Xenopus tropicalis: one gene and its partners. The protein of the gene in region 4 interacts with the protein of the main gene of each other region in a pairwise test. Links are inferred from orthologs where the notes say so. Each region holds a gene or a part of one and is shown on either strand. Other genes may lie near its edges.

What was found.
Region 1: the proteins of ehhadh (region 4) and kctd6 interact in binary tests that used the Homo sapiens proteins (3 or more experiments, as listed by UniProt). The two-hybrid records come from large-scale screens. The link is inferred for Xenopus tropicalis from reciprocal best matches to the Homo sapiens genes EHHADH and KCTD6.
Region 2: the proteins of ehhadh (region 4) and tpp2 interact in binary tests that used the Homo sapiens proteins (3 or more experiments, as listed by UniProt). The two-hybrid records come from large-scale screens. The link is inferred for Xenopus tropicalis from reciprocal best matches to the Homo sapiens genes EHHADH and TPP2.
Region 3: the proteins of ehhadh (region 4) and mid1 interact in binary tests that used the Homo sapiens proteins (3 or more experiments, as listed by UniProt). The two-hybrid records come from large-scale screens. The link is inferred for Xenopus tropicalis from reciprocal best matches to the Homo sapiens genes EHHADH and MID1.
Region 5: the proteins of ehhadh (region 4) and zbtb9 interact in binary tests that used the Homo sapiens proteins (3 or more experiments, as listed by UniProt). The two-hybrid records come from large-scale screens. The link is inferred for Xenopus tropicalis from reciprocal best matches to the Homo sapiens genes EHHADH and ZBTB9.
Region 6: the proteins of ehhadh (region 4) and actg1 interact in binary tests that used the Homo sapiens proteins (3 or more experiments, as listed by UniProt). The two-hybrid records come from large-scale screens. The link is inferred for Xenopus tropicalis from reciprocal best matches to the Homo sapiens genes EHHADH and ACTG1.

Annotation. Positions count from the first base shown.
Region 1 is NC_030680.2:148,539,872-148,544,910, forward strand, and holds kctd6 (BTB/POZ domain-containing protein KCTD6), read left to right. Parts: upstream 1-1,711; coding exon 1,712-1,738; intron 1,739-1,830; coding exon 1,831-2,517; 3' UTR 2,518-4,440; downstream 4,441-5,039. UniProt on the Homo sapiens protein: Probable substrate-specific adapter of a BCR (BTB-CUL3-RBX1) E3 ubiquitin-protein ligase complex mediating the ubiquitination and subsequent proteasomal degradation of target proteins.
Region 2 is NC_030678.2:119,712,147-119,717,430, forward strand, and holds the start of tpp2 (tripeptidyl-peptidase 2), read right to left. Parts: upstream 3,189-5,284; 5' UTR 3,135-3,188; coding exon 2,964-3,134; intron 1-2,963. UniProt on the Homo sapiens protein: Cytosolic tripeptidyl-peptidase that releases N-terminal tripeptides from polypeptides and is a component of the proteolytic cascade acting downstream of the 26S proteasome in the ubiquitin-proteasome pathway.
Region 3 is NC_030678.2:58,457,070-58,462,000, forward strand, and holds the start of mid1 (E3 ubiquitin-protein ligase Midline-1), read left to right. Parts: upstream 1-1,847; 5' UTR 1,848-1,937; intron 1,938-4,931. UniProt on the Homo sapiens protein: Has E3 ubiquitin ligase activity towards IGBP1, promoting its monoubiquitination, which results in deprotection of the catalytic subunit of protein phosphatase PP2A, and its subsequent degradation by polyubiquitination.
Region 4 is NC_030685.2:54,570,105-54,575,051, reverse strand, and holds the start of ehhadh (peroxisomal bifunctional enzyme), read right to left. Parts: upstream 3,315-4,947; 5' UTR 3,254-3,314; coding exon 3,180-3,253; intron 1,552-3,179; coding exon 1,448-1,551; intron 1,347-1,447; coding exon 1,174-1,346; intron 371-1,173; coding exon 259-370; intron 1-258. UniProt on the Homo sapiens protein: Peroxisomal trifunctional enzyme possessing 2-enoyl-CoA hydratase, 3-hydroxyacyl-CoA dehydrogenase, and delta 3, delta 2-enoyl-CoA isomerase activities. Catalyzes two of the four reactions of the long chain fatty acids peroxisomal beta-oxidation pathway.
Region 5 is NC_030684.2:71,795,107-71,800,305, forward strand, and holds the start of zbtb9 (zinc finger and BTB domain-containing protein 9), read right to left. Parts: upstream 3,334-5,199; 5' UTR 3,274-3,333; intron 3,251-3,273; exon of another isoform or gene 3,154-3,250; intron 3,148-3,153; exon of another isoform or gene 2,978-3,147; intron 1-2,977. UniProt on the Homo sapiens protein: May be involved in transcriptional regulation.
Region 6 is NC_030686.2:28,627,650-28,632,654, reverse strand, and holds the start of actg1 (actin, cytoplasmic 2), read left to right. Parts: upstream 1-1,462; 5' UTR 1,463-1,547; intron 1,548-2,921; 5' UTR 2,922-2,928; coding exon 2,929-3,051; intron 3,052-3,140; coding exon 3,141-3,380; intron 3,381-3,665; coding exon 3,666-4,104; intron 4,105-4,291; coding exon 4,292-4,473; intron 4,474-4,561; coding exon 4,562-4,705; 3' UTR 4,706-5,005. UniProt on the Homo sapiens protein: Actins are highly conserved proteins that are involved in various types of cell motility and are ubiquitously expressed in all eukaryotic cells.

The DNA of each region.
Region 1 (5,039 bases), on a different chromosome or scaffold from region 4:
CCTGTCTCTGTGCCCCCCCCCTACTGGTATTCCCTGTCTCTGTGCCCCCCCCCCACTGGTTATTCCCTGTCTCTGTGCCCCCCCCCTACTGGTATTCCCGTCTCTGTGGCCCCCCCCCCCCCACTGGTATTCCCTGTCTCTGTGCCCCCCCACTGGTATTCCCTGTCTCTGTGCCCCCCCACTGGTGGTCCCTCTCTCTGGGGCCCCCGCACTGGTGTTCCCTCTCTCTGGGCCCCCCTACTGGTTTGGAACATTTTAATGGGCTGAGAAGTGAGGCTTTAGATTATGGCCAGTATATAGATTGGCGTATCAGATAAACCCCAAAACAAAGGTGGCACAACTGCCAGCTCTCGTAATCACTGTGCTCCTGCCAGATGGGAATGTTTAGAAATGACAAAGTGACAGGAGGGATGTGAGGAGCCTGTATGTACATAGCTGTGTAGATTGTAGTTGCCCTTAGCAGCTAGTGACAGATAAGTTTTATGCCAGTCTATAAGGCTGGGACCTAAATAGCAGTAAATCAGTTTTTATTTCAAAGTTAAACCCTTATATAATATCTTCCTTATCTGTAAACCAGAGATTGAAGGCGGGGGTAGCAATGGGTTGTTCATACAGCCTTATTTATATAAACTTTGGGGTCTGTGGAACAAAACTGGCTTGATAGAAGTTTAGTTAAGCGATTGCAGTCACTGGGGGGTGTCTAACATTCAGCCCCAGTGATTTAGCTCCTTTAATGAGCATTTGGAAAGATCCCGCAGGGTGAGCTGCTGAAAATAGAATCTATCAATATTGGAAATAGACTGAGGCAGCGATTGTATCAGCGTAGTGCGCTTTGTGCATAAGTCGCAAAACTAGAGGGTCAGGCTTGCTGTCTTGGGGTGTATAGGGTTCAGTATATCAGGGGACCCCTAATTCTAAAGGTGGCCATACACGGGCCGATTGTAGCTGCCGATATCGATCCCTTAGACCAATTTGGCAGCTTATCGGCCCGTGTATGGGCAGCAACGACTGGCCTGTCCAACCGACGTCTGGCCTGATATCGGCCAGATATCGATCGGGCAGGTTAAAAAATTCAGTAGGCTTGGGGACTGTTGATGCAACTCCATTGAACCAACTGCGTCGGTTACCATCCTTATAATTCGATCATTTGGCCCCCCGATATGGCCCACCTGTGACGTGTATGGCCACCATAAGAGCTAGGCTGATCTGATAGGGAACTGAAGCCTTTCTTCAGTTGTGTAAATGCAGGGCTGTGATTGGCTATCCCTCACCTGCTGTGCTTTTGGCAGAGACTGTTAGAACACGCCCACCCCTCACTCCAATAAAGGAGCTATTTATAAAGATAATGTGTACCTAATGGTACGTACGGATATTAAAGCCGAGTTAGAGAGTAATAGGGATGAGCAGTTTAGGCTCCGGCCGCTGTGTCTCAGGAGCACAATCATTTATAATGATTTGGGGGGGAAAAGCCCGGTGTGACTTGCACTTCTCTATATATAGAAAGGATGGATATAGCAACGTGCAGAATAACATTAGCACCTCTCTGTTCCTTTGTCACCATCCCCGCTCCCAATATAGGGACTTTGTGCCGTCATTCCCATCTAATAAGCAGCGTCTGCACATCTGTCTTACAGAAGCCGGCCGGAGAGAGAAGTGTATGCGTCCCTCGGCAGTGAAGCATTTGCTTACGGCAGGTCAATCCTTTGAACAGATGGATAATGGAGACTGGGGGTACATGGTACGTGCTGCATTGGTTGGAGTAGGGGCCCCCTTGGTTTGGCTTTTTCCTGCTGCGGGTGCTGTGAGTAACGTTCTTTCCTTACATTCCAGATGACTGATCCGGTCACACTTAACGTAGGCGGCCATGTCTACACTACCTCGCTCTCCACCCTGACACGTTATCCAGACTCCATGCTGGGGGCCATGTTCCGGGGGGATTTCCCCACAGCTCGGGACTCCCAGGGGAACTACTTCATTGACCGAGACGGAGCCCTTTTCCGGTACATCCTAAACTTCTTACGGACATCGGAACTGACTTTGCCGGTCGACTTTAAAGAGTTCGATTTGCTTCGCAAAGAAGCCGATTTTTACCAGATTGAGCCTTTGATACAATGTCTCAACGACCCCAAACCCTTGTACCCCACGGACACCTTTGAGGAAGTAGTGGAACTGTCCAGCACCAGGAAGCTCTCCAAGTATTCCAACCCGGTGGCGGTCATCATAACGCAGCTCACCATCACCACCAAGGTGCACGCCCTGCTGGAAGGAATCGCCAACCATTTCACCAAGTGGAACAAACACATGATGGACACGCGGGACTGCCAGGTCTCCTTCACGTTCGGACCGTGCGATTACCACCAGGAGGTTGCCCTCCGCGTGCATCTCATGGAATACATCACCAAGCAAGGCTTCACCATCCGGAATACCCGGGTGCACCACATGAGCGAGCGCGCCAACGAAAACACCGTCGAGCACAACTGGACTTTCTGCCGACTGGCTCGTAAGACGGACGACTGATGCCTGTGGCGCCGTGGCCAACCTGGACGAGGGAACGCAGGAGATGCAGTGTTACCTTGTGACTTTGTGCGCTGTTTTTTGTTTTATTTTCTATTTGTACGACTATTTATTAACAGCCAATCTGATTGAATCGTTCGCAGTGTGATGTAACCCGACATTCCCGGCTTATCCACGGTGTATGCATGTACCTGTATGGAGGAGACTTGTTGTTCTAATAATGCTTTAATGTTAAATATACAACCCTGCTAGTGGGCCCATTGTGCTCAGTACAGTGGTGACAGAACTCTACGCATGGCTGCGCAGCACTGGAGAGATTCACAAATCCAGCGTTATGAGCTTGGCCTTTTGTGTTATTCTCTATGGGGCTGTTCTATTGCTTGCTGTGTGCAGCATTGTGAGCCATTGTGCTATAATGTAACCTTTGGGTAACACTACAGTCAGGCTATGTGTCCAATACTAATAACAGCTCCTAATTCCGAGGTGTACTGCAGGCTGCACTGATTTCTGTACAGCCACACATATGCACCTAAATAACCTAGTATCTAGCTGTGCAGAATTTGGATTTTATTCATGTACAATTATTATTATGGATTTGAATCAAAATGGAACCCAATAACTAATAGTCGAATTTTAGTTTGAGTATAACTGAGAATACAGTATTAACTCATGCTGTAAAGGCGCATTGCAAAGGGGTTTGGATTCAGGCTTGGGATTCAGAATAGGCCTCCAGTACACAGAGGCCCAAACAGCCCCAATAAATAGTGACTGTCTATGGCACCTTACAGCAACCCCTCTGGCATTTGCCAGAACCCACAGATTGCCATTCCGGGCTGGGTAGATCAGCTGATAACCAGAACCAAATCCCTTAATTTAATAATGATAGAGAAGCACCATGCATTTTTAAAAAGTGCTGTAGTTTATATGGTAACCTTTTTTAATTATGACTGAGCTGCCCTCTCCCTCAGTTCTATATAACTAAACTCCTTTTTAGTATGGGAGGGTGCTGTACAGGGTCCAGTAGGGCCCACATTTACAGAGCACACCAGATAAGCTATTTAGGGTACCATAGTTTTAGTAGTCAAGTGGTGATATACAATAGTCCGCGCATTTATGGCTCCCCACGCACCCACAGGATGGAAACATCCAAAAACTGGACTTTTGCTACCAAATAATTTTTTATTTTCAGAACCGACAGGTCAGATATATTGTATAAACGTATATCCACCTCAGGAGCCTATATTGCAATATTATTGTAGAAAAAAAAAATTAAGGTTTTAATGATAGAAGACACCTGTAATCATGGGAAAAATAGTGAATGGGATCCAGAAGGCATTTTCACTATATTTCTTTATTATATATCCATATAAATATGGATATTTCCAGTTACTGTACTTTGGAATACACCTCAGACCCAGCTCTTATGGAGTTTTTAAGGGGAACATGACCTTAAAATTAGGGATAACTGACAGTAGTGCAGTTGGTCTTTGTGTGCAGCTCTTTCATGTATGGCAGTTAAGATGTTACTTGGTTTCTAAGGTCACACACCCTGGCAACAAACGTAGGAGAGGTCCTGAAAAAAAGATTCTAGTCATACATTTATTGGGACATTTTAGGCCACTTCCTGACTACCCCAGTCAAATGCAGTTCTGCCCATATTCCCTCCCTCCCCCACTTCACTGTAGGCCCCAAAGGACGGTAATTACTTTGTGAATTAAGCATTTGCCAATGTATAGCTTGTTATCCCACACACTTTGCTTTGGGAATGGAGATCAGTATTACAGAGAAGCAAAGTCATTTGTACAAACTGTTTGTTTCTATGCAGACAAGGAATTCTGACCAAATATACGTTTAGTGTCACCATAGAGCTGTGTGCTGCTTGTCTATCATTTTGTCGTTGGATCATTATTATACTGCATTTTGGAACATTTTTTGTCCGTGTCTCCTTGTTATGCCCAGTTATGCCCCCAGTTTTTTGTTTTTTTTTTAACTTCAGGCGTTTATTGAATTCACAATATCAATATGTACAGTACTTGAATAACAGTATTGCAATAATAGTTACACATTAGTAGTATCATAGGCATTTATTACATGACATAGCATAGCACATTCTATTATGGTTTAACTCATTTGAGTCAGGACTGACTCGGCCCAAACATATGTGTGATATATTTACTGTCGGTCTGGCCCTGGGATAACAGGACTCTTGGCAGGTATGTAATTACATTCGCAACCCCATAATAATAGGGTAAATAGTTATTTTCTAACCTTTATATGTAGGGTCTGGTTGAGTTACAACTTGTTATTGATGTCATGTTTACAGAGCTTTTCCCCTCTTAACAAAATGTGGGATCTGCCTTTTTGTGCAGTGATTAAAGGAGAAGTAAAGCCTAACTAAAGAAGTAGGCTAGAAATGTTATACATTATGTTTGAGCTTTTGTACCAGCCCAAGGCAACCTCAGCCCTTTAGCAGATCTGTGCCAACAAAGATGCCCCCAGTAGCCCCCCCCATCTTCTTTTGTACT
Region 2 (5,284 bases), on a different chromosome or scaffold from region 4:
ACCCCTTTAAGCTAATTTCACATACATTAACCAGGCCCCCTAATGAAATATTTAGGATGATCAAAGCTAATAAAATGGAATCATGGTGATATGTTAAAGATATTGGGCCAAATTACAGAATCTATAAAAATGACCCATGGGTATAAATGCTTACTTGTGTAAATAAGCTTTAATCTCAATATTATGTGGTAATCAACAGATGGGAATTAAAGAGCAGAGATGCAGGCATTCTCGCTTGATTTAATACCAGTCTATTTGGCTGCACTATTGCCTCACTCTTAAATTACATATACATGAAAAGCTTTGTGCCAGACAAGCAGGGCCTAAAAGGACTGGGGCCCACCAGCATTTCTTCTGGTGTTCCAGTGGGCCAGTCCGACCATGGACCCAAGTATGTGTCAGGCCAACTTGCACCAAAATACAGCTAAATGTGGGCTGTGTTTTAAAAAACAAATAAATCACACAATTAAACCTAGTAAAAACTCTCACTTTAGAACCAATCTCTTTTACTTCTGATTCCTATAAGTGTAAACTATTGTCAACAATGCACTGGGAAGTCTTTACTTAAAGAAGGGCAGGAGTTGCAGTCATAAATATGGATTATTTCACACTAATGTTTTCTAGGCTGACAAATGTATATGCTGCCGCGTGTGTGCGGGTGTGTAGTAACAGGCATGAATGTTTTTTGTGGTCCCACAAATATATAATGCATAATGCTTTTCCATGATTTGAAATTTTCCTGGATTTTAAATCAATTTTTTCTCGTCCCCTGAAAACATAAAATGGGGGTTCTACTGTATATATCTGACTGAAGATCAGTCACTTCGCTACTGAGATCAGACTCCAAGAATCAATAATGTTTTAATCTGCTTTATGATTCTTAGTAAAACAGTACTGCAAAAATGAAACTCCAAGAATCACCGTGAAAACTGTTTTTAAACTGATACAAGCCAGGTCGTATTACAGCAGCAAGGAAAGCAAAGCTGCCTACAACACATATCTATTTCCATTCACGCCTTGTCATTTATGCAGTGTTTATTTTAGTGAATACGCTCATTTACAGGCATAGGAAAGATTCTATAAAAAGCTCAGGCTACCCTATTAAAAAAAACAAAAAACACAGGATAAAACAAAGAATTGGACACAGAAGTAATATTATTAGTACTCCTAAAAGAATATACTGAATAGCATTCATACTTGCCCCAACAGTGCTTTACATGTACAGAAGTAAAGCAACAATAGAGTAATTGTAAATGTATTCTTTTCTACCACACTACAATCAACACAAATAATACGTGGGTGTTCTGAAAAAGCCAGACTGTTCAGTCTGAGCAAAACACTATATCAACAGTTATTGCTGTTGATGATTTTCACACCCAGAATCTTCTTCTCCTTACAAACAGATTAGTACAACTATGTCCTTATTATAAAATATGGCATCCCTCAGGCCAACATGGCATGACACTGCTGACAGACACAAACCGCCAATAATCAGGTTGGCAGGAGTTGTGCTCTCTATTATCCTCCTTTATTTATATATTTCACGATATTTTACACCAGTCAAAGACATTCACTTACAGTGGTCAATTTTGTTAGGAACCAATTTACCTTCCTTTCTGTACTTTTTGAAATGTGGGAGGAATCTAGAATATTAGAGCAAACCACACCACCAATACCTGTGTAGCAATCATGGTATGGCTAAGGGACTCAAGCCAAGAAGTACGAATTAAAGAAACAGATTTTACACAGGTGATGGATATCTGATTTATGAACTTCTTTTTACACACTTTAGACCTACGAGCTCAGCTGCAGCTGTATTAAAAGGGTCGTTCACCTTAGAATTAACTTTTAGTATGCATGTATGTGGTTTATCAGTTTTTTTAGCTTTTTTTGTTCAGCAGTGCTTCCATTTGGAATATTAGTAACTGGTTGCTAGGTTCTTGCTTACCTAAGCAACCAGGCAGTGGTTTGAATGCGTGACTGGACTATGAATAGGAGAGGGACTGAAAAGAAAGATAATAAAATTGTAAGCTCACAAAGCAATAGTTTTTTTGACTACTGGGGTCAGTGACCCCATTCAAAAGCTGGAAAAATGTAGAAGAGGAAAGCATATATTTAATTAACATATAATTAAACCGTAAAAATAAAATAAAATTGAAGGACGATTGCTATGTTGCTATGAATAGGCCATTCTGTAACATACTAAAAGTTAACATAAAGGTGAACCACCCCTTTAATATTTTTTTTTTTTTGCAACTATCTTGCTGTGAGTCGCTGACAGATCTCATCTGTTCTGATTGGCTGATATCAGTGACTATGCTGTTTGTCAGCACTGCACTACTGACAAAAAGCATAGGCAAAATGCATGCAAATGTTAGGTTGAGAAATTACAATAATAAAGCCATTACATCTCAAAAACTAATACACAAAAAAAAAGATCTGTGTGTAAAAACAAAAAAAAAAGAACATTTAAGCATCAACTACAGTTAGTTTAGTGGACTGGGTGCCCTCCAATCTCTGTACTCCTCCTGCCAAGGAAACGAAAGTAAAAAAGCAACCAATGCCAGGAAGTCCTGACAGTGCTAAGTCATCCTTGGTGGCAGCTAATACAGGGCACAGATTAAAAACCTGATCTGTCTGACTTTGGGATGGATACTTTCCCTTTAGCACACCTCAGAAGCATAGATCATTCCTATCAATGATAACCCAGAGGGTACAAAACATGCAGCGGATTTGTGTATTTCAATTCTGCTACAATAGAGAAAGCCTAATACGTGACGGACACAAATAGGCCAGTACTGATGAGTTAGTCAGACAGTCCTTCCTGCAAGTCTCCCGTTACTCTACAGTCCCTATCCTTGCGCTATAGGTCGGTATTTCTCCGGCTGGAAGATGGCAGGCTATGTATCTCACACAATAACAATGTACCCAGTGTATGAATACACTTTCATTTTTGTGTATACCTGCATGCCTGGAGCCCCGGGGTCCACCCCAGTGTCTAATATCGCTATCAGGACTCCGCGGCCGTCATACTGCGGGTACCGGGTCAGGAAGCCCGCAGCGCCGGTCTCTTTCTTGGGCAACAACCCATGGTAAGGGAAAGGTTCTTCCGCGCCGGCTGCCATCATGATCATGAAGAGAAGGAGACAGAGGCTGAATCGGAAACAAATCTTTGGCCCGCCCCTCTGCTCGTAGGTCAGCAAATCAGAAAGCCGGATTGTACGGGTTTTGAGTGACGTGTTCCCATTTGCGTTCAGTTCTGCGGATGTTATTGTGTTTGACGGGAAGCCCTTTCATCTCCAAAGAGCGTGAAACATTGTATGTAAAGAAATATTGCCTGAAAAATAGAAAAAAAAGTTCTTATGTTAATAACAATGGAGAGCTCTTTTTCATTATTGGCCCAAGTTATTATCTACCAACCTCAGCCACCTAGTCTTAGACATGAAAAACTGGCCCACATAAGTATCTGAGCACATTTAGGCTGGCATACAAAACTGTTTGGGGTGCTATAAGCAGCACCCTTAGTAGGTAAAAAACAAACAAACAGTTCTCAGCTTTGAATGGGAATTACTTGTCAGATGTCAGTAATTTGGTAACACATGGCAACTTGATATATACATTACCCTTTGAAAACAAGATGCATGATATCTAATGGAATATAAATATTGCCATGAAGGCAACTAGAGAAAAAGTCTACTGCACCAAAATACCATGCCCATTTTACAAAAACACACCGTATTCCCCTGGTTGCAATATCAGTGTCAGACACACAAAGAGCAACAGCACTTATTTAAGCAGGATAAACCCTGCTGATTTTTAATAGTAGCAAACCATATAATGTTTCGGGGACACAAAGGGGCTTGTCAGATTTTATGGCAGTGTGGTGCAGTTTAAGGCTCTGATCGCAACTAATTTCATTGGGGCCTTGTAGCAGGCACTAGCCCTCAGCAGTTATAAACCCCAAAACTATTATAGCCCTTACACCCATTACAATACTGCCAACTAACTGTAAAGCAGACCGGCAAGTTGTGAGATGTCTGCTCCTGGACTGTTAGAGAGACCTTAGTCCAAATATTTACTTGTCCATTATGTTAAGAGTTTTGTGTGCTTTAGGTGTAATTCCATTTGAGCCTGGTAATGCCCTTAGTCTTCTCCTCTATCCTCCCATAGCCCTTCTCAAGCTTCATCCTTCTAGAGCCCTCATTGATCTGCCCTCAGCCCTCCATCATCCACCTCTGCTCTCTCCTACATCCATGATGTGCCCCATACCCCATTTTCCCTTAACCCAGTAAGATCTGCCCTCAGATCCCTCCTCCCTCAACCCACCACAATCCATTAGTAGCTTCTTCTTTATCCCCCCTCAGTGTGCCTCTTCATGCTCTCTTAGTTCTCTTCTCCATTAGCCATTCAGCCCTCCATGAATCACCACAGCCTCCTCTAGCCTAGCAAGATCTGTCCTCTGCTCCCTCCACCATTAGCCTCCACAATTCACCCTCAGCTTTTCCCATTTCTTCATTTGTATCTTCATTTGCAGAGCACTAGAAAGATCCAAAGTCTTTGGCTTTTTCCAGAATGCTCTCCAAAACATGCACGGAAATGTGGGCTTTTTATCCTCACAGTGCCAGAAAGCGCTTTTTCTGACACATTAAGAAATGGAACATTTAACCTAACATTTGGCACTGTAGGAATAGATAGGAAAAGTCACAGTCCCACACACAGAGGGACAATTAAAAAGTTTGGAATTTGTCTTTTATAATGCTATTAATCTTGTCCAAAGTAAGAGACAAATGATAGCTTCTGTCTTTTGCTTAATCAATCAAGACCACTTTTGGGGAGAAACTTACACTGTATTTGGCAGCCTTTTTCTGAATTCTACTCTAGGCGGTGGGTTTGTTCAAGTTTCTATTTTTGAAGAATGGCTGTAGTGTCTTAGTTGTTTAAATTAGAATGAGCTCTGTAGGTACGACCTACTGAGATCCTGACTCTGGGGCACCAGATGGCATAACAGCAATATGACATGACCAGAAAACATATTTTGCAGGTTTGTTCAATCAATGGGTGTAAAAACTGAACATACAGATTATATACAAAAATACAAATGATACAAGCGATACAAGAGGAAAGATAGTGCTGCCTTAAAAGAGCTTACAATTTAAAAGAGAATGGGTATGAGACACAAGGTGTTATTGAGGATGACAAGAATGAAAGTGGGATCAAGCACATAGTGCTAAGATCTTTTGACGCTTGGCATTTTGGTTTGGTTCCCCATTTGGCAAAGCTTAGC
Region 3 (4,931 bases), on a different chromosome or scaffold from region 4:
TATTTTTTGTAAACGTGAAACAGAAGAAAGCCTTCAAAAGACAAGCAGTAAAAAATAACACTAACAATAAGGCAAACAATAAGACAAATGGGTGATTTTCAACACTGGCATATATAAACCAGCAGAGAAAAGCTGATCCACCGCCAGAGGTGGGCCAAGCCGACTGGACGCCCTAGGCGACCCGACTGGCCACTTCGCCCCCTCGCTCTTGCATGAACGAGCACATGCGCATCGTTGGGGGGGGAGCATCTAGTATAACGTGCAGACGGCGTAGCACAGGAAATCAGCGGTGGGGGTTAGAGATCCCGGACTAGAAGTAGGCAACAGAGGTACTTGCCTAGTGCCCTTTCACTGTTGTGCCCTAGGCAGGTGCCTCTTCTGCCTACCCCTAGTTCCAGCCCTGTCCGCTGCCTTCCACTACCTGAATGTGTGTGCATTGACAGGTACAGGACCAGCATGTACAGAGCATATTTCAGCCTGAAAATGAAAACCTTAGAGCAGGGATACCCAACCTTTTTTTTACTCGTGAGGCCACTACAAAAGTGTGAAAAAAAGTTTTTTAGGGATAGCAAAAAAGGATTGTGATTAGCTACATTAGATGTGCACCTACTGTACATTGAGACCCCCAGGTCCCAAGCATTCTGGATAACAGGTCCCAAACCTGTACAATGTAGAAATGCTTTGGTCAATGCACCCCAGAGATTCTGGTTCAATATCAGTTATAGCAATGATTACTTTGATTAATATGTATATGTGTCTAGGCTCACTGATAACCTCTGTATAGCGAGAATCGGAAAGAACTGCCCATATGCAAAAAACAATTCAAGGACCCACTGTGGTCCCCTCTCTCCTTTTGTTTTCTTTGCTGTTTTTTAACATTCATCTACAGTTTCATGCTTTGCAAGTTTAAAAGATCTCTGCTTTGGAAAAATCTAGTTCATTGTTAATAGGAAGCCGTCAGCAAAGGTTACAAACAAATAAATAGTGAAACTTGACCTTGCTCTCAGTTACATGTTTGCTGGTTGAGGGACAAGAGAGAATATTGGAACATGACACTCCTTTGTCAGAAGAAAGTGGGGTTTAAGGTTTCCTGTGTCCTCTCAGCCAAGCCCTACTCTATTTCTGATTCAAGTAATAGGTCATGGGAGCATTATGTGAAATGGTAATAGGGAAACTGAAGAAAACTGTTCTTGAAATGTAAATATTATAATATAGATACACATCAACATATGTATATACATAGATAGATGGTCAGATAGACAGTAAATTAAGCAAGCAATTGATGATTATATTAAAAAAAAGCTCTCTGTATTCTGTTAGCTCACAGAGCTGAAGCAACATTTAAATATAAATTAAGACAAATATAATTCTATAGATATACATTTGGTTTTGATGTAAAAATTGAATTTGAGCTTAAATGTATATATTATGTTGTATTTATGTAATGTGTATTATATTATTCCCTGTCTCCTCTATTAATGTATTGTTTGAAATGTACAGAGCTAAATATATAAAAGTAGCACTGTATAAATATACATACACAAAGATGCCTACATTATTTTTATTTTGCAGTTGGCAGTATATGCATATAAGAACTCATTATAACAACTCTGTTTATATTATTATTATCATTTGAATGGGCAGGGGTTGTGCTGTGTATCTGTGCACCTTTTTAAAGATTTGCATGTCTTCGAAGGCTTGAATTTATTGAGACACTGGAGAAGAGCCCAAGAGGCTTGTTTGTAAGCTGAAGACATTTGGTGAGCCAGTGTGTACTCCGGTTTCCTAGGAAGGGATTAGGGACAGTCTTTGTTGATATCTGTGAGAGGAGCTACAGAGGATGAGCTAAAGAAAGAAAGCCAGAGACCTGCTAGTTTTGTTCTGCCCTTCCATTCCAAGAAGCATATACCAGCTAATAATAATCCTAAAGAAAACTGGTAAGATTTTCATTGTTGCTGTTGTTTGCATGAGCTTATTTTATAGAAATGCATTATATGTGGGAGGAAAAAAATAATTAGTGGTTGTGGCTGATAGGGTCCTAGGTATTCTCTTTAAGAACAGATTGTTATATGAGTATGATTTATTTAAAAACAGCACTAAGCCATAGCTCTGCATAGAATCCTGTAAGCATCTAACTTCTGAAGTGCCAGCCTGCTGGTACCAGATGTCATAGACACATCACATTTAGACATGTTTGCCAATGGATTTCTATCCCTGTAGTAGCTGATTGTACAAGAATGGTTACCTTTAAACTAATGCTGCATGCCTCTTTTCTATTATAAAGTATGCTGTCTGGATAAGCAGCTGTTTGCTTGCAGAAACTTCTAGGAAATCTAAATATGGAAAGTATCAGTGTTTATAAAAATGGAGCATGGGCTGTTTGTCTGAGTATGCTTAAGCCTTCTATATATTCTTACTTGCTTGCAATTATGGCACATCAGAGGGATTGTCCTCTTAAAACTTTTAATAAAAATACACCTTCTTGTGTCCTTATTAACTGGACACAGTTCTAGGCATTTCCCTCTAGGTGCAGATGAAATTGCCCATGTCCTTAAACTTTCTACATGTGGCATTCTGTATATGTTTGCAGTTTTATGTAGTTACCAAATTAAATTCTCTTTCAGTGGGTCTGTATCCATGGTTCTGGGTGCATAGTTAAAACCTTTTATTTTTGGTTAAAGGGTTAAAGCCAGTGCTATGAGTATCACATAAAGCAAGTGAATACCTATTTTGATTTGTATGAATAGGAACTATCTTGGCTTGCTCTGATGATTCCAAATAACAACCATAACAAAGGAACCGCTTACAGATGCTGATTATTATTGCAGCAAACAAAAAAAGTTAAATTTGTGGCTAGCAACATGGCAGTCTCTTTAGCTACAGAATGCAATAAATATAGTATATTTCCCTCAGTTTGAGGATCTAGCCACTGATACAAGGCATACACCTGGCAAACAGTAACCACCTGTATTGCCGTCCATGAACTTTTAGGGTGAAGACACACAGGTACTAAGGTACTTAGTAGCAGCTACTTTTTTACAGCTATTAAACACCAGAAAATCCCCTGCCATAGACAATACTTCGAATTGCCTCTGCTAAAACATACATAGAGACAATTATCAGTAAATGATCTGCATTGTCTATTTTTGTACCCATGATGAGTAGCTGCTACTAGTGGCTCCATGTTTCTTGACCCTTATGGAAACCACTTGTTACTGCAGGAAATTTTAGTCCAGAAAATCACAAAAGCATTTTGGAACCAAACACTGGCTGCAAAAGCAGCGACAGGTTTAGAGGAGGCGGATGGGTAGTTTCAGACATGTTTTTCCATCAGAGAATCAGTCTGCCTTAATGTTGGCTTTTTGAGATGTTTGGGCTCACTGGAATTGAAAAAAGTCTTGTCAGACTGCAAGCAATATCTTTTCCTTCCAGTGCTAAGAGGGGTTAGAAGATATAAAGGGGATGTATGACTGCATGTGTGGCTTTGCTAAAATGGATGCAAATGTTGAATGTATTGACTTTAACCATTAAAGGAAAAGTAACACTAACATTTTTAAGTAAAAAATCTATTCTACCCTGCCCCAATAATTGCCCTATTCTGCAAACCATTGATTAATTTGAATTCTTTATTAAAAAATACCTGTTTAAACTTGACTTACGGTCATTTGAAAAAAGGCAATATGGCGATGCAGGGGAAGCATCCACTATGTGGCAATCGATTGATCGATCCTAGCCTGACTCTTTCCTATACAGAAGGAAGGCTAGGCCCAATCAATCGATTGCCGCATAGTGGATGCTTCCCCTGCATCACTGTATCACCTTGTATTTTCTAATAAACCATTCAAATTAATAAATGGTTTGCAGAATAGGGCAATAATTGGGGCAGGGTAGAATAGATTTTTAACTTGAAAATTTTTAGTGTTACTTTTCCTTTAAAGGTACTGGTGTCTAAACATACCTTGCATATGTTCAATCTGGTCTAAAGAATCATGTGCAAGTACAGCTATTGTGCTGGGGAATCGGGAAGCTACTACCACATTGAATATAGTGGTAGCTCCTAGGGTTTTGAAGTGAAGAGCATCAATAGAACCCAACCAGACTTGCACCAAAATAATTACATAGTAATGGTGATTTAATGCAGCACCCCTAGAAATCATGTAATTAGCCAACTGTTAGCCAAACCTTACACTAAATTTGTGAAAACACAAATGAACGCGTTTTGATGCTTGAATTCTGTGGGAAATGCCTCATTAGGGCTCTGGCACATGGGGAGATTAGTCGCCTGCGACAAATCTCCCTGTTCGCGGGCAACTAATCTCCCCGGATTGCCATCCCACCGGCGACAATGTCGCCGGTGGGATGGCACATGCTGCGCAGGCGATTTTGGCAAATCGCCCAAGTTGCCTCGAGAGGCTTTTTCGGCGATTTGCCGAAATCTCGCTGCCGCGTGTGCCATCCCACCGGTGACTTCGCCGGTGGCATGGCAGGTGATGGCAACTCGGGGAGATTAGTCGCCCGCGAACAGGGAGATTTGTCACGGGCGACTAATCTCTCCATGTGCCAGAGCCCTTATGGTTAAAAAAGATGGTGATTTGTGTCAGATATTTGCATACTACACTTGTATGTAAATCCCGTTATAAAGAGATGGATGTGCTTAGTATAAATAAACAGGCGCACTTTCCTTTTAGTTCTCTTTGATCTTGTATCTACCTAATTGCTTGTATGTAGATGAGTTCATTTTATATATACATCTGGAATATAGCAAGCAGGAATGGCAGGCTACGCTAGATTTAGAGGAATATGTTTACTTTTTTAGCTTTCTGAAGGCAAACTTAATGGAAACGTCACTAGTTCTATTTCATTCTGTTTTATCTAATGGTTCTCAGGCAAAGTTGTCAGTTTGCATAAACTAACAAGGGTCAGATTAGGGC
Region 4 (4,947 bases):
CAATGTACCGTATATGGTTCAGCAACTCTCAGCATAATAAAATAATGCAGGTTTGGAGGAAGAAATTTTAGTAATGATATGAAATAGCTAAAGATCTATAAGCACAATGAAGTTACAATGGTAATCTTGACTGGTGACATCTCAATGGCATTACTGAAACAGGACTGATATTTTAGAAGCAGAACACCAGATGGGTCTTTGGACTTTATATGGTGACAACAACTATTCTGTGTGTAAAGGGAGAAAGAAAGTGCGTACCACGGACAATAATATCCAGAGCAGCAGGAATGCCTATTAAGCGAGGCAGGCGTTGGGTTCCTCCAGCTGCTGGGAGAATTCCAATTAATACCTCCGGGAGACCCATAACAGTCTGTAAAGAGAGATCAAGATGTATTTTAACTATATATGAAGATGTTAACACTCATATACCTTCCATTTCTGATATATATTACATAACACTTCTGCTGCTGCCTCAAATCCATCTAGACCAGGAAAAAGCCACATCCAAGAGGGTTGTGGTTTGCTACTTTCACCTTTTACAGTGAAAGCCTACGGCCTAAAAATGTTTGTTTCACCTGCCCTCTGGGACTGCATTATTTGAAGAGACAAACTTTATGGTTTCCTCCCCAAGGCATAGCACTTGTAAGCCAACAAGAGAAAATTATCTGTAATTCTGTTATGAACTTTGTGCAATTAAACTTTATTTTTAAAGCAGCAGCATACAACCAGGGGTTTCTATTGGAACAGTTTGGCACAGTGCTGAGTAGCCGCATGTAGGAGCAAAATTATCAAATAGTTTGCCCATTACTATTCAGTTATTCATAATCCTTGTACATATCAGATACCAAAAGGCCACTTTAAGGGGAAATTCACACAGATGAGGACCTAATATTATTTCCAGTGTTCTTATGACAGGGAAAGTGCCAGGTATCACTTCCAAACAACAACTCCACCAAAACTAATACTGGAGCTCATTACCACAGTTTGACTATTGCTGTTATATGCTTTTATTCACTGTTGTTTGTAACCTGCCACAGCTTAGTGGCAGAGCAGGTAAACTGAAATGGTAAGAACCAGACAAAGCCAAATAGTTTTGTTGCTATGCTGACTGCGCCCAGATGGACGCCTGTCCCGCTGATCTTAACATCTTAGTAGATGCTAAAGTGACTGCACCTTTATATGTGCCACACGATAGTGGCACGATAATGCTAATTCCAGACCTCCTCCGAGAGCCACTCCTTCAATGGCAGCCACCACAGGCTTCGTGGTGCTTTCTATTTCAGCATTTATATCTTCTAAAGATACGGTTCTCCGAGCTGCAGAACTAAACTCACGGATGTCTGCTCCTGGGGCAGTAAAGAGTGTATTAGAATATGGAATCACCTATTTTAAAAAGAAAATGATAGCACAGATCCATCCAGTGACAGAAAAATAAACACAACCATACCTGCACTGAATTTTCCATTTGCTCCACACAGGACAATGGCCTCTACCGATGGGTCCTTTTTGACCTCTGCCAATTCCTTGATAAGTGCCTGACAGACAGGAGTGCTATGGCAGACAAATAAGCACAATATATGGTAGCAAATAAAAGCAAATGGTCCCTCTTTTGTTGATTTATTAGCCCAAACATATTCTCAAGGAAACACACAAATTGTACAAAAACCAACGCACCTTTAGCTAGCAGACTTCAGTTCTTTTGTGTGTTGTGTGATAGAGCCACCATATTAAAAAGAATTATTTATCAGTGAACCAGTTCACCCAGTAGCCATATTTTAATGAAATGGCAATATTTAGTCCAGCTTTACAAAAGGATATTATTGAGCCCTAGCATCTCTCAAGATTATGACTACAATATTACAGATGGAGCAGGCATTTCTTATAAGTTACTACTGAACACAGTGCATCTTTAAAACCAGCTTCATCTATACATTGCCTCTTTACAGGGAAATACACATTAAAGGTGGCCATACACGTTAAGATCCGCTCGCTTGGCGAAGTCACCAAGCAAGCGGATCTTCTCTGATATCCCCACCTATACTGGGTGAATTTAGGCTAATTCGGTCGTTTGGCCCTGGGCATAAGAACGATGGTAATGGGCGCAGTTGGTTTGGGGACCACATCAACTAGCCGATGCGGTCCCTGATCAGACTAAATTTTTTAACCTGCCCGATCGATATCTGACCGATTTCAGGCCAGATGTCGGTCGGGCAGGCCCGTCGTTGGTGCCCCTACATGGGCTGATAAGCTGCCGAATCGGTCTAAGGGACCGATATTGGCAGCTAGAATCGGCCCGTGCATGGCCACCTTAAGCCTAGATTTCACCATTTCATATTTCTTGTTCATTTCCTGCCAAAGAGATATTTACTGCAAGTTACCTTAGAGCATATTCAGGTAAAGTTGCCACTTTGTCTATTAATATATATTGCCCAGTTTATATGCTGATAAATAATTCAGCTACCAGCAATTTCTAAATTACTCTATATTTCTCAGAACTGCACTTTCTTTACCATGCACATCCCAGAAAAATACTGTCCATGAAAATGGACAGCCAAATGCTGGTAATGCAGTGCAAGCAGTGGAGGGCTGCAGTATGGAGATACCGGTCACCTTATAGAATTACTCTTCTAGAGCACTGGAAGGTACTGGGGAAACAGAGGGAGGGATGCAAAATAGGAGCCAATTATAAGGCTATTAGAAGCTTTCAGAAGGGCGCAAGCATAAAGCGCTGTGCAAAGTGCCATTTTCAGATGCAAATCACAATGTTTTTTATCCAGATTAAGAGTGTAATTGCAGGCACTCTCCAAGTGGCATATACAATCCCTTGTGCAGAATGCACCCATACACATGCAAAGTGGTGTCTATTTTGGTTAGTTTCATCATAAATTCTGAGTTATCTAAGCATGCTCAATTTTGCATTCCAAACCAGAGCATTGCACTTGCCTTAAACTTGCAAATTAGGATTTTGAGTGTTTAATCTGTATTCATAGCTACTGTGGGACTACAACTCCCAGAATTCTACAATGATCAGTGGCATTTAAGGTGTTACAGTTCAGCTACACTTAGATACAAAGGTCGAGAAAAGGCTGGTTTGTACTTCATGGTGTATTGATTCCAGTCCACCACAAACACCTATAGCTGAGGTCCCTTCCCACAACGAATCCAGCTCAACGTCTTACCTCAGCGCATTAACAGGAGGATTGTTGATTTTGATGACAGCCACTGTATGTGACAGAGTCCGTGTGGCAGCCATCGCCGCTGCTGTATAAGTACAAAGTTCAAGTGCACCTACACTTTGAAACAAGAGCCGAGAAGCCCCGCCCCTTCCCTTGATATGTAACGAGTGTTTGTTCCGACACTTGACCAATCAGTAGCTCAGTGGGTGTATCACAAATTGTGTTTGGGTAGAGAGGGAAAGCCATAGCTATGCAGTATAGCAAGAGTAGCATGCTAGTCACTAAAAGCTGCTGATGCATATTTGTGTTTGTTTTTTTCTCTTCTGTAAGGTTTAATATGAACTGCTTCAAGATTATACTAGCATGTATAAACATACTTTGGTGTGGCATATTTGCATGGCCTTGTAATGTTTAAACCCAAGTTAATGAATGGGAAAAGCTAGATTTTAGAAAATTCATTCTTGGGAGAGAAGTATACATCTGTATAGCCGATTTAACCCACTCCCACATTTAAAGAATGATCTGTACTCCACCTTCCTACCAATGCTACTATCTAAAAGATTTTTAGATAAAATTCCCAATATACTCAGATCCTATACCCTAACCTCCTAATTCCTACAACAGTTAGTATGGTACTCCTTTTCTTATCCCTGCCCAACTACAAATTGTATTCCACTTCCCCAACTTGTTTTCTTCATGTGTTAGGCCCTGATACTCTCTTTGTATATCCTTGCCCAAAAGCTTTTTATTTCCCCACTTTATTTTTCAATTTCCTGCCTCTGTGGTTCATTTATTTTTTTCTAGTCCCACTCCAGAGGAGTGGAAAGTTAAAAGGCAAGCAGAAGGCAGCACCTGTGGTTCGCCATCTTGAAATTATAATTATTCGTTCATCAGTATTGCTGCATGGAAGTGACATCACGCACCGGTGCTCACTTGCAGACGTGACGTCACATGCATGCAAAAATGCCCGAATGAAGCCGAAAAATTGCTACCTGCACAGATTTCAATATGAACTTCGGAGGGTTTCAAAAAATTCGTGAGAATGCTATTGGATAACGGAAGACAGGGAGAGAGAAGCACCACGTTCTTATGATCCCTCTGGGCTTGCATGTAAGGCGGAAATTAAAGGACATGTAAACTCCACACACAAAAATGTAATCAGTGAACAGCCTCTTTGAAATCTCTCAATACCTGCCACACTGGTTGTCCAGAGGTTAATACCGGTAGTAAGGCTGCAACATCTCCTTAATCACTTAGATTTGCATCTCCTCCTGTAACCCACTCGGCCCCCTCCCTCAGGAATTTGCTTTGGCTGTTGGCTTGTGGGCATGCTCAGTTGTTGTAAGATCAGATTACTAAACATGCCCCCTAATCTAGCAGCCAGTGAAGAGATGGCATTGCTGGTTCCCATAGAAACTCAGCTCTAGCTGTCTGCTTCAGTTTTTTTCTCCCAACCTTCTCTCCTGAGCTCAGTTCAAACACATCAGAACTTTATCAGAGATAGTTCTGCCTGTGTGCTGCTATTCGCTTTAGGAACATGTGATGGTGCTGGCAAACGGAGGAGATATATGCAGTACAACTAATGCTATTTGGGTGGGGGAGACGTGCCCAACTGATATACATTGTAGGCAAATGTAGGCTTTACATGTCCTTTAAATGCTTGACTGACAGAAAGAATCTGGCAGTGCAGTTAAATGGTGTTGTTAGCTTATACCATGGTGACCACACAGGATCAGAACTCAAATGTAAGCACATTTTCATGAACAATTGA
Region 5 (5,199 bases), on a different chromosome or scaffold from region 4:
CCCAATACCAAGTCCTCTTCTACACAGTGATTTAATGTGGCCATACACGTGTAGATTTGTAAACGATTTTTTATTAATGTACAACCATGCTTATTATAAAACAATCGCATATGATCTGTCCATCAACGAAAAGGAACATTTCAAGTGATATTGTCTAGTTGAAGCCCAAACCGGAAAAGGATGTGACGTATATGCTAAAAGTTAAAAAAGAAAGGAAAAACTGTGGTAGCTGCTTGCTTGGTCCTGCAAACAATTTTGTAATGTCCTATGGACAATCTATGTTGTATTTTTTTCAGTTTTTGATTGTTGCTGTACATTATGTAAAAAAAAGTAAACAATATTTAATTTATATCTGTGAGATTCCTTTCTCTTTTGAGACTCCATAGATATTTACTGCTGTTTGATGACACTTGTCATCATTTTGTGATCTCAACACCGCCCCACACATGCACAGTTTCTAAATTGTTAAGGGATCGAAATCTGTCCATCCCATCAAATTTCACTGTTTAAAGACAAAAATGTATAAACCTGTCCGATCAATTCTCTGACCAATGTCGGAGGAAAGAACAGCAGATGTACGATTGTTGGGTGCACACCACCCATACGATAATTCAATAATTTGTCAGATCATACTGAAATTGTTATGTAAAAAAAGGCTGTATAGTATAAAGGGGTGCACAGTGACAAAATGCATGTACTTGATGAAGAACCAGTGGTGTAACTGTTAGCATTGCTTTCTTGGAGTGCTGGGGTAATAGGTTTGATTCCAGTGAGGGTACTATGAGTTTTAATGCGTTATCAATGATTGTGTTTCCTCCCACACTGAAAAAACATTTATCATAAATGGCTTCTGATCGAAAAATGATCGTGTGTGAATGCTATATGCACCTTAAGTTGTAAGCTCCGCTAGGGCAGGGACAGGTGTGGATAGTTATGGAATATGTTGGCGCTAAATAAAGAATAATTTGATATAATATATTATATATATACATACATGCACTGGGGGGCAGACTTCAAGTGGTAGTTTACCTTCACAAAACTGTGTTTCGTAAAGGTAGCCATACACTGTAAGGTCTGCTTGCTTGTCAATGTCATAAAGCAAGAGGATCTTTTCCCGATATGCCCACTTACTAGGGCCAAACAATCAAATTAAAATGGCAGGCATAGGTGCCACTGGTTCAGGTCAGATGCCGTTTGGGAAGGCCTGTCGATGGTGCCTATACACTGGCAAATAAGCTGCTGAATCGCTCTAAGGGACTGATATGGGCAGCTGAATCTGGCACATGTGGCCATCTTTACGTGTGGCTACCTTATTTTGGAACAGGATGCAAGAATTCCAAAATACAAAAAAATATTTTAAATATTTTAGAAGTAAATTGATACAGTGCAAATGGTTTCATACTGCTCAAGGGCACTACGTCGTAGTGTTCATGAAAGGCATGAAACATGCAGGGCAACTTTTTTATTTATTCATTTTTGGAGTCAATGCACCTATACAATACACTAAAATAACCCTCTGTTTAATACTGCAACTACTGCTTTTTCCCATTAAAAAATGAAACTATACAATTAATGCTACACCAGGGTTTTTTTCTTTTAGAGAATAAGACAATCTACTCAAACCCTGGCTGACAGAAAGACATCTTCCTGTCTGTGTGCACACAAGCATTTTCATGACAAGATCCATCCTGCCAGGCACTGACAGGCATGTAGTACCACACTAGGCTCCTGTCCCCTGGTGTAGATATCACATGGAGTAATATTGGTGTTTATAGTTATACTTTTCAGAATTAATAAACATTTTTGGAGAGCACAAGCCTAGCTAATATTATAATTGTACCTAAGTCTAATATGCAGGGTTGTCAATGATGCAACATCTTTAAACAACCAAGGAGGCTTCACCAGGGATATTTGTGTATATGCTGCAACCCAACAAGCTCTCTTGATAATCAGACTATAAATAAGATTTTTACAAGACACCCAAAAGCCTGGGCCACAACATTAGGGACTGTATACACTTTTACTTCTTTAAATAAATTACCAGTGCAGGGCTGCAAATGTATAACAGTTTTTCTGAGCAAGGTGCAGAGAAATAGTCCCTGCTATGTGCCCACAAGCCGTCTTTACTTTGGCATCACTGCACTTATGTAAAAGCTCAGTATATAGAGTGCTGGGCACCAGGTAGAACAGTGTGACTGTCTGCTGGACAATCCTCAGGCTCTCGTAAGCGCTCACCCTTCAAAAAAGGCATGTTTTCTGCACTTTGATCACCACATATTTTTTATCAGCCGAAGAAACATGTTTAAAATGCCCAAAGTCACTCACATACTAAAATATCTGCCTGAAATCACTGGTTTAAGCACCTGTCATGGCTACATACTGTCTCCCCTGAACACAATATCCCGTGTGAGGCTTTGTTTGGTCACAGCTAATGATGGATTTCATGTATCTGCATCAGAGAAACATTATAACATATAAAGGGCAGCCAATTCCATATCTGTTAGCAGCCATTTACATGGCAGGAGTGATGGTAGGAAAGTGATGCCCAGCACTGCCCCAGTTATCCCTCATTCCTTACTGGGCTATGTGTCCCATTATTATGTGTCCCCCTGCGAGCTTGTACCTTAGTCTCCCCTAGCGATCAGGCAGTGGGACAGGGCTGAGGGAGGACAAGGAGCAATAAGGCCCAAAATACAAGTACATATAACAAAATGCTATCCGATAACCTGTTCCCTTCCCAGCCAGGCCCACACACCCATTACCCAATCAATACAGCCTGTGGCCTTATGGTACATAGTTGCTACTGGTGTCCGTTACTGTAAATAGTGACTCTACCGCTGTAGTTCGGCTGTATGTGAAGGATGCTGGGAACTGTAGTCCCAAACTAGCTAGAAGGCCACAGACTAGACACAGGTTTGTGAGTTCTGATAAGTGCACTGCTCACAAAGGCGCTATAAACCCCACCCCTGAAACATACCGTATTACTTCCCTGCTCCCCTGAAGCTCCCTAAATACAGCAGCCCGTCACTGCACCAGCGGCAGGACAAACATAGCCAGGCCCGTGGAGGCCAGACGCGGGACAAACGTGTGTAACCCTGGGAAACCATCAAATTGGAGCCATGCAAAACGCGGTCAGGGACAAGTATAACCAACCCTGGGACTCCGTAGTCACATCTCTACGAGAGTAAGGAGGAGGGACAAGTAGGCGCTATCCCCGGGAAAACGAGCTAGGAAACATCCGGGCCTGTATCACATGGACGAACATTACCTTACCCCTTGTCTCAGAGCGCCGCTCACACCTGTAGTTACCCCTGGAGACCAGAAGGGGGATATATTGCGCTCTTTCCTTTAGGAACCTACCACAAGCACAAGTAGTATGAATGTGCTGTAATAAACCGTGGCTATGATACAAACTGCTCCATAGAGGGTTATAGCTGTGTGGTGTGCCAAGTGATCTGCCTCTCACAGCACTATGTTACTATTGCCTGCAAAGCTCCAGGCTGAGTAGCCTGCTTTCACATACATTATCCAATACAAATTACTAACCAGGTCAAAGAACTAATAAATGATTCGTTTTAGTGTGATGGACCAAAATAGGGAGCTGGAGCAAATAGAAGAAGTACAGATAAAAAGGAATATTTAAATGTGAAATTATGTGGTGATATGCATTCTCTGGTATATTTTAAGTTTATAACAGGCAGTGTCAGACTGACCCACCAGGATACCAGGGAAACTCCCGGTGGGCCCAGGGGTCAGTAGGCCCTCCTGCTCCAAACCATTTGGCCTGTTTCATGGTCATTCCCTATTTCTGAATGGGAACAAATACAAATAATAGATGGAAAAATAGATGCTAGCATGTAATAGGAGAATAATATTTTGGAGAGTGGGCCCATGTTCTAAGGTTTTCTGGTGGGCCCCTGGTATTCCAGTCCAACACTGATAACAGGTACAAGAGATCATTACACCAAACTGATTTATGCTTCCAAACAGTAGCGGAACTATACCTCCCCAGGCCCAGGTGCAGGGCATGCAGCAGGCCCCCCCTTCCCCCTTCTGGACACATTTTTGAGGCAAAGTTGCACTGGTACAACAATGCAAGCATCCACTGTCCAAAGTTCATATTTAATTATACCTACCAGTCCCAGACTGGCCCACCAGGATACCAGGGAAACTCCCTGTGGGCCCAGGTGTCAGTGGGCCCTCTTGCTTCTAACTATTTAGCCTATTTCTGGATGGGAACATGGAAGCTTGGTAAATGGATGAATAAACGTTAGTATGTAGAGAAAAGAGACTAGGATAATAAAGAGTTTGAAGGAGGAGAGGAGGAATTAAAGTTTTGGCAGTGTGCACCTGGCATCTCATTCTGACACTGATACTTAGCCCCTGCAATTACATATATATGATACTTCTTTGTTAAAAATATTTTTTTATTTACTGACACAACTATATCATATGACACAGTCAAGAAAAATGGTATGTGAGAAGAGACTTTTTTAATTATATACAGACAAATACTGGGAATATGTGACCTGAAAAGGTGGATCTGATCCTAAAGGGGATCTAAAGTCAAAAATAAAATCCCCTTTCAGGCTCCTTACCTCCAGAAACCTACCTCCAATATACTTTCATTACAAAATATCAATTCAGTTCAATTCTCCCTTCTCTTTTATTGTTCTGACAGTTGCGGATACAAATCTCTAGGCAGCATGGACCCGAGAAGAAAGTTACCCAAGACTAGTGCCTAGTGGAGAGATCCCTGCAGGAGTGCAGCTATATAGACAAGGTATAGGAGGCCAAGTGGGGCACTAACATATGAATTTCATTATAGTATTTAGATAGTTTACAGGGACCCTTAAATGATTTTCCTGTGGGGCTCAGTATCTTCCAGCTATGCCAAAGCCTCCCATAAGAGATGTTGTTAATAAAACTAAATCCCTTCCCCTACATAAGGGTATCAATATATCTTACTTTTCTGGGGCTGAGTGCCTTTTGGGGGAAACTAAACACAAAGCTGGCGTATCCCCTTTTTATGGTCCCCACCTATGGCTATTCACCCTGGAACCTTATACCTGAGCACCTGGGATGACTCCTTGCATATAAGGCCTGATCTGAGCTTAATTGCTATTGGTATATCAGTTCTCTTAGGTGGGACTCCTGGTGATTGGGTAAAGTTCTAATATATGACTAAAAACTTCAAAA
Region 6 (5,005 bases), on a different chromosome or scaffold from region 4:
TAAGGAAGTGCATGAAAAGGGGTTTGCATTGAAAGCAGTAGTTCTCTGTGGTTGCAATTTATCATAATTTTCCTCTATTTACAATTAGGTATGGCCCACCTGGTTATGTTGTGGATTTACATTCTGCTGTGTGATGTTGCCCCTCCTGAACCCCAAAATCGACTCCCTTCCCCAGTAGAAGCAGACAGTCAAGAGAACTATCAGCTCAAATTGGGCAGATCAGTATAGGTAAGTGTACATTCTGCACTTATAGTTTATGTTTCTGAACAGATTTATACAGAGACCATCCCAGTAACGTACCATGAACTTTGTTTCACCATAACAACATTTTCTGCATGAAGCCAAACACATGACTGTCACTATACAGGATATTCTGCAAGTAAGCTTCCCTCTAACAACTGCTGCAATTCCTAAGCCATTCCCTCTCTATATGTGTAATGTCTATTCCAATTTGTTCCGAACATCTTTAATGAATCTGTCTTTATAATCTGGCAATGTACCCACCAAGCAGCCCTTGCCTTCAGGGATTGTTCTTTAGAAAGTTCTGTTTAAGGTAATGTGACATGCAAGACTGAGCTCACTTCCCAGCAGTCCCACCCTGAATGTATTCCTTCCATCTTAGCCCTAAAGGGAGAATGCTCAAGCACCTGAGGCTTCAGAGAATACAAAATAAAGCATTTCCCAGCAAGGTACCTAAAGGGGGTATGTAGTAGAACCACGCCCTTTAATATCCTGTCTATAGGCAATCCATGCATTTGTGTTATATCTATATAGGGTTTAGCCCATGTATCACTTAGCACTTTATTTACAAAACTCCCTGGGCTTGGAATTCGACCAGATCCCACTCTAATTTTAGATAAAGAAATAAAAATAAAGTTTCAAGGATGTAATGTGTTCCTATTGGGTATACTGTAGGAAAATGCACACCCTCTGTATAAGGACAATGAAACACCTAAGGAAAAAAACATGACCTTAAAAGGTATTTCCATCCTTCCCTTTGGCCATAGTGGCACCACGCTCGCCTGCTATTGTTAACTACGCTTCCCAGCAACCTCCGCTACCCCAGTAATCCGTATCTCACTGTCCCACCGCATAAGAACTTGAGAGTTAGAAATCCCCGGACTACGATGTTTCCCTGTATTTTACAATACATTTTAGAGAAATGTTTCAAGTAATAGTAACATATATGTGCAAGGGTAGCGGCTTTCCTGCTCTAACACGGCCAGGCCTTACACGCCTCCCTATTGCTCATAAGCGCATGTAACTTCAGGGGTTCCGGGTGGACGTAGGGCCAGGACTCCGGTCCCGCCTCTTCTCCCAACCAAGCAACCAATGGCGAGGCGTGTTTCTGAAAGATGCCCATATTTGGCGATCTTCTGTCTGTGCGGCAGCAGGCGGGGCTGGAAGCCTGTGACGTTAAATAGAGATAACGGCCGCTACTGGGTTCTCATTCAGCCGGTGGCAGCGGACTTGACAGCTACTTCCCGCTCTTTGTAACAACTTGCCAGCTTTGCATTTCTCCTCTTAAGGAAACCTCCAGCACCAAGGTAAGACCTTAGACAATGTCTTACGGCTGTGTGTGGGTGGTGGGCGGAAGAAGTCTTATGGGGTACCGTTGGCCGGGATAGCGTGTGGTAGTGTTCTGTCTATATATTGTTACATGACCGTATTGTCTGTGGCTTGGATATTTGTAAGTCTCCAGTAATGCACGCTTAACTTGTTCTCCTAAAAAGCTGCTGTTGATCTTAATGTGTTACAATGCCCTGCGATATTCTATTTTAAAATAGGCATATTCTATATACATATCTGGCCCTTGTCATACTTCTGGTTACCCTGGGTGCCGAATGATGTTAATATGGCTATGTACAGAACTATATGGCTCTGGTGTCAGTCGCCGTTCGGAGGTGGCTTCCCTCCCTTATGGCTAGAAGTTTGCGCGGGTTTCCCTGCGATAGCATGACGGGCTGCACCATTCTAAAGGGTAGGGGTGAAGCTATTTCTCGCCTCCCCCCCCCAGTTACTTGTATGAGTCACCCCACCTCTGTTGGCCACGCCCACGAGTTTGAAGCTTGTAGCTTTTTGTTTCAGCGGCAGGGCGTGGCTGCTGCATTCTGCTTCCATATTAGGGCAAGAGCTCTGTGATTGGCTGAGCGAGCAGTCAGGGCAGATTTAAACATCACACCAGTTCTAGGGGTGGGGCTGCTGTTCATTAGCCGGTACCGGCTCCTGCGTTGTATAAAGTAAGGGCGGGGGTTAACACTAGGGCGAGTCAGAGAAATCTATTCTATTATGTTTATTTATAACTATATTAAATTAAAGATTCTGCAGTATGGGCAGCTGTTCTTAAATACAAATAACTTGGGTGATTGTGTGCTTTACATCCTGTCATTTTTGTAAATGTTCTATATTGCTTGGATAGCTACACTGTATTGTTAGCCTGACAGCTGAAGTCTTGTAGCCTTTTTGTGTTTTTTTTTTTTTTTTTTTTGTGGTGTGCCCTTTCCCTATTGAGGGGAATAACAGGGCGTGACTGGCTGTACCACTTGCCTCAAGTCTTTAGCCTATGAAAAGGGCTGCCTTAGCCTTTCATTAAACGATTATCTAATCATAGAAGTGTTGATTGTGTTACTATTAATGCTGTTAATCAGCTGTGGGATATTCCCTGTTACCTTGTACAGCTTTCAGTGTACAAACTTTCCACATAATTCATGATTAATCTTTTTACTTAAGAAACAAGTGTTTAACGCTTGTCGCTCATGGTAGGGTGGGGCTGAAGTGGATTAAACGGTTACTATGCCTTACTGTTGGTACACTTGCCTACAAATGGCTTAGCTGTGTACGGAGTGAGGTTGTGGCTACTGACTGAGATAAATAGCCAGTCCCTTATTTTGCTTATGATGATCTGTTTGTTTACCACACAGAAATAAAATGGATGAGGAAATTGCAGCACTCGTCGTTGACAATGGCTCTGGAATGTGCAAAGCCGGCTTTGCTGGAGATGATGCTCCCCGTGCTGTGTTCCCCTCTATTGTTGGACGCCCAAGACACCAGGTATATATAAGTGATGCTTTAATCCTTCATCCAGCAAATGCAGCTTAAATTTTTTTTCTTGGGCTGACTTACTGTTCTTTTTGTTTTAGGGTGTAATGGTTGGTATGGGCCAGAAGGACAGCTATGTAGGTGATGAAGCCCAAAGCAAGAGGGGTATCCTTACCCTTAAGTATCCAATTGAACACGGAATTGTTACAAACTGGGATGATATGGAGAAGATTTGGCATCACACCTTCTACAATGAGCTTCGTGTAGCCCCTGAAGAGCACCCAGTCCTGCTTACAGAAGCTCCCCTGAACCCCAAAGCCAACAGAGAAAAGATGACACAGGTTTGTTTTCAGTGGAAGGCCCAAATACACTTATTTTGGGGTAGTTCTTGTACACTTCATTCTTATTTCTCAAACTCCAATTTTCTTTCAATATTTTCAGGGCTCTGTACCTCTCCTGGCATTTCCCTCCTGAAGTCTCAGGTTTCTGTTTCATTGGTTTATTTCTGCTTGTTCTGTTTTTCTACACATCTATCTCTTTGTTTTGCATGATGGCATGCTGGCATGGTTTGGGGTTCTAACTCGTCTTGATTTTTAGAATTAACATTGTTCTCATGTATCCCTTAGATCATGTTTGAGACTTTCAACACCCCAGCTATGTATGTCGCCATTCAAGCTGTGCTGTCTCTGTATGCCTCTGGTCGTACCACTGGTATCGTGATGGACTCTGGAGATGGTGTCACCCACACAGTACCCATTTATGAAGGTTATGCCTTGCCCCATGCTATCCTGCGTCTGGACTTGGCTGGTCGTGACCTGACAGACTACCTCATGAAAATCCTGACCGAAAGAGGCTACAGCTTCACCACCACAGCTGAGAGAGAAATTGTGCGTGACATCAAGGAGAAACTCTGCTATGTTGCTCTTGACTTTGAACAAGAGATGGCAACTGCTGCATCCTCCTCATCCTTGGAAAAGAGCTACGAACTGCCTGATGGACAAGTAATTACAATTGGAAATGAGAGGTTTAGATGCCCAGAGGCACTCTTCCAGCCTTCCTTCCTGGGTGGGTATCTGTTAAGACGTTGCATTTCATCTGACTAATAACTCTTCCTCCTGAACATCTGGTCTAGGTAGTAGGTCCTGTTTCCACAGTACACTGTATAGTTGCTAAAGGTGACTAAAGTGACTAAAGTGAACCAAGTATAAGTAAGAATGGAACTTTAGCAATTAACTTTTTTTTTTACACATAGGTATGGAATCATGTGGCATCCATGAAACTACATTCAACTCAATCATGAAGTGTGATGTTGACATCCGTAAGGACCTGTATGCCAACACTGTCCTGTCCGGAGGTACCACAATGTATCCTGGTATTGCTGACAGAATGCAGAAGGAAATCACTGCCTTGGCCCCCAGCACCATGAAAATTAAGGTGAGTTAACAAACTGGTTACTATTGTCTCTCTTCTCCTGAATCTCCAGTATTTATGCACTGGTACTGAACTTTATTCCTCTCCACAGATCATTGCCCCACCTGAACGCAAATACTCTGTCTGGATTGGTGGCTCTATCCTGGCCTCCCTCTCCACTTTCCAGCAGATGTGGATCAGCAAGCAGGAGTATGATGAATCTGGCCCATCCATTGTCCACCGCAAATGCTTCTAAATGGACTGCTAGCAGATGCGTTGCATTTGCTGCGTGAGTTCTTCAAAGTATTAATTTGCCTTGGCAAATGTGTACGCCTCATGCTAGCCTCTTGAAACTGGAAAAAGGGCCAACTTCCAAATGAACTTATCCTAGGAATTGAAGACACACATAGTCACTGTTGGGGGATTTTGTAATGCAAGACTTGTGCTTGTCTCTTCAAATCATTCCTGTGGCATCAATGCTAGCATATTGTACCCTGTACACATCTCTTATATTGCCTGGTTGGCATACAGTCTGGGTGACACTTAAGCTAAGCTT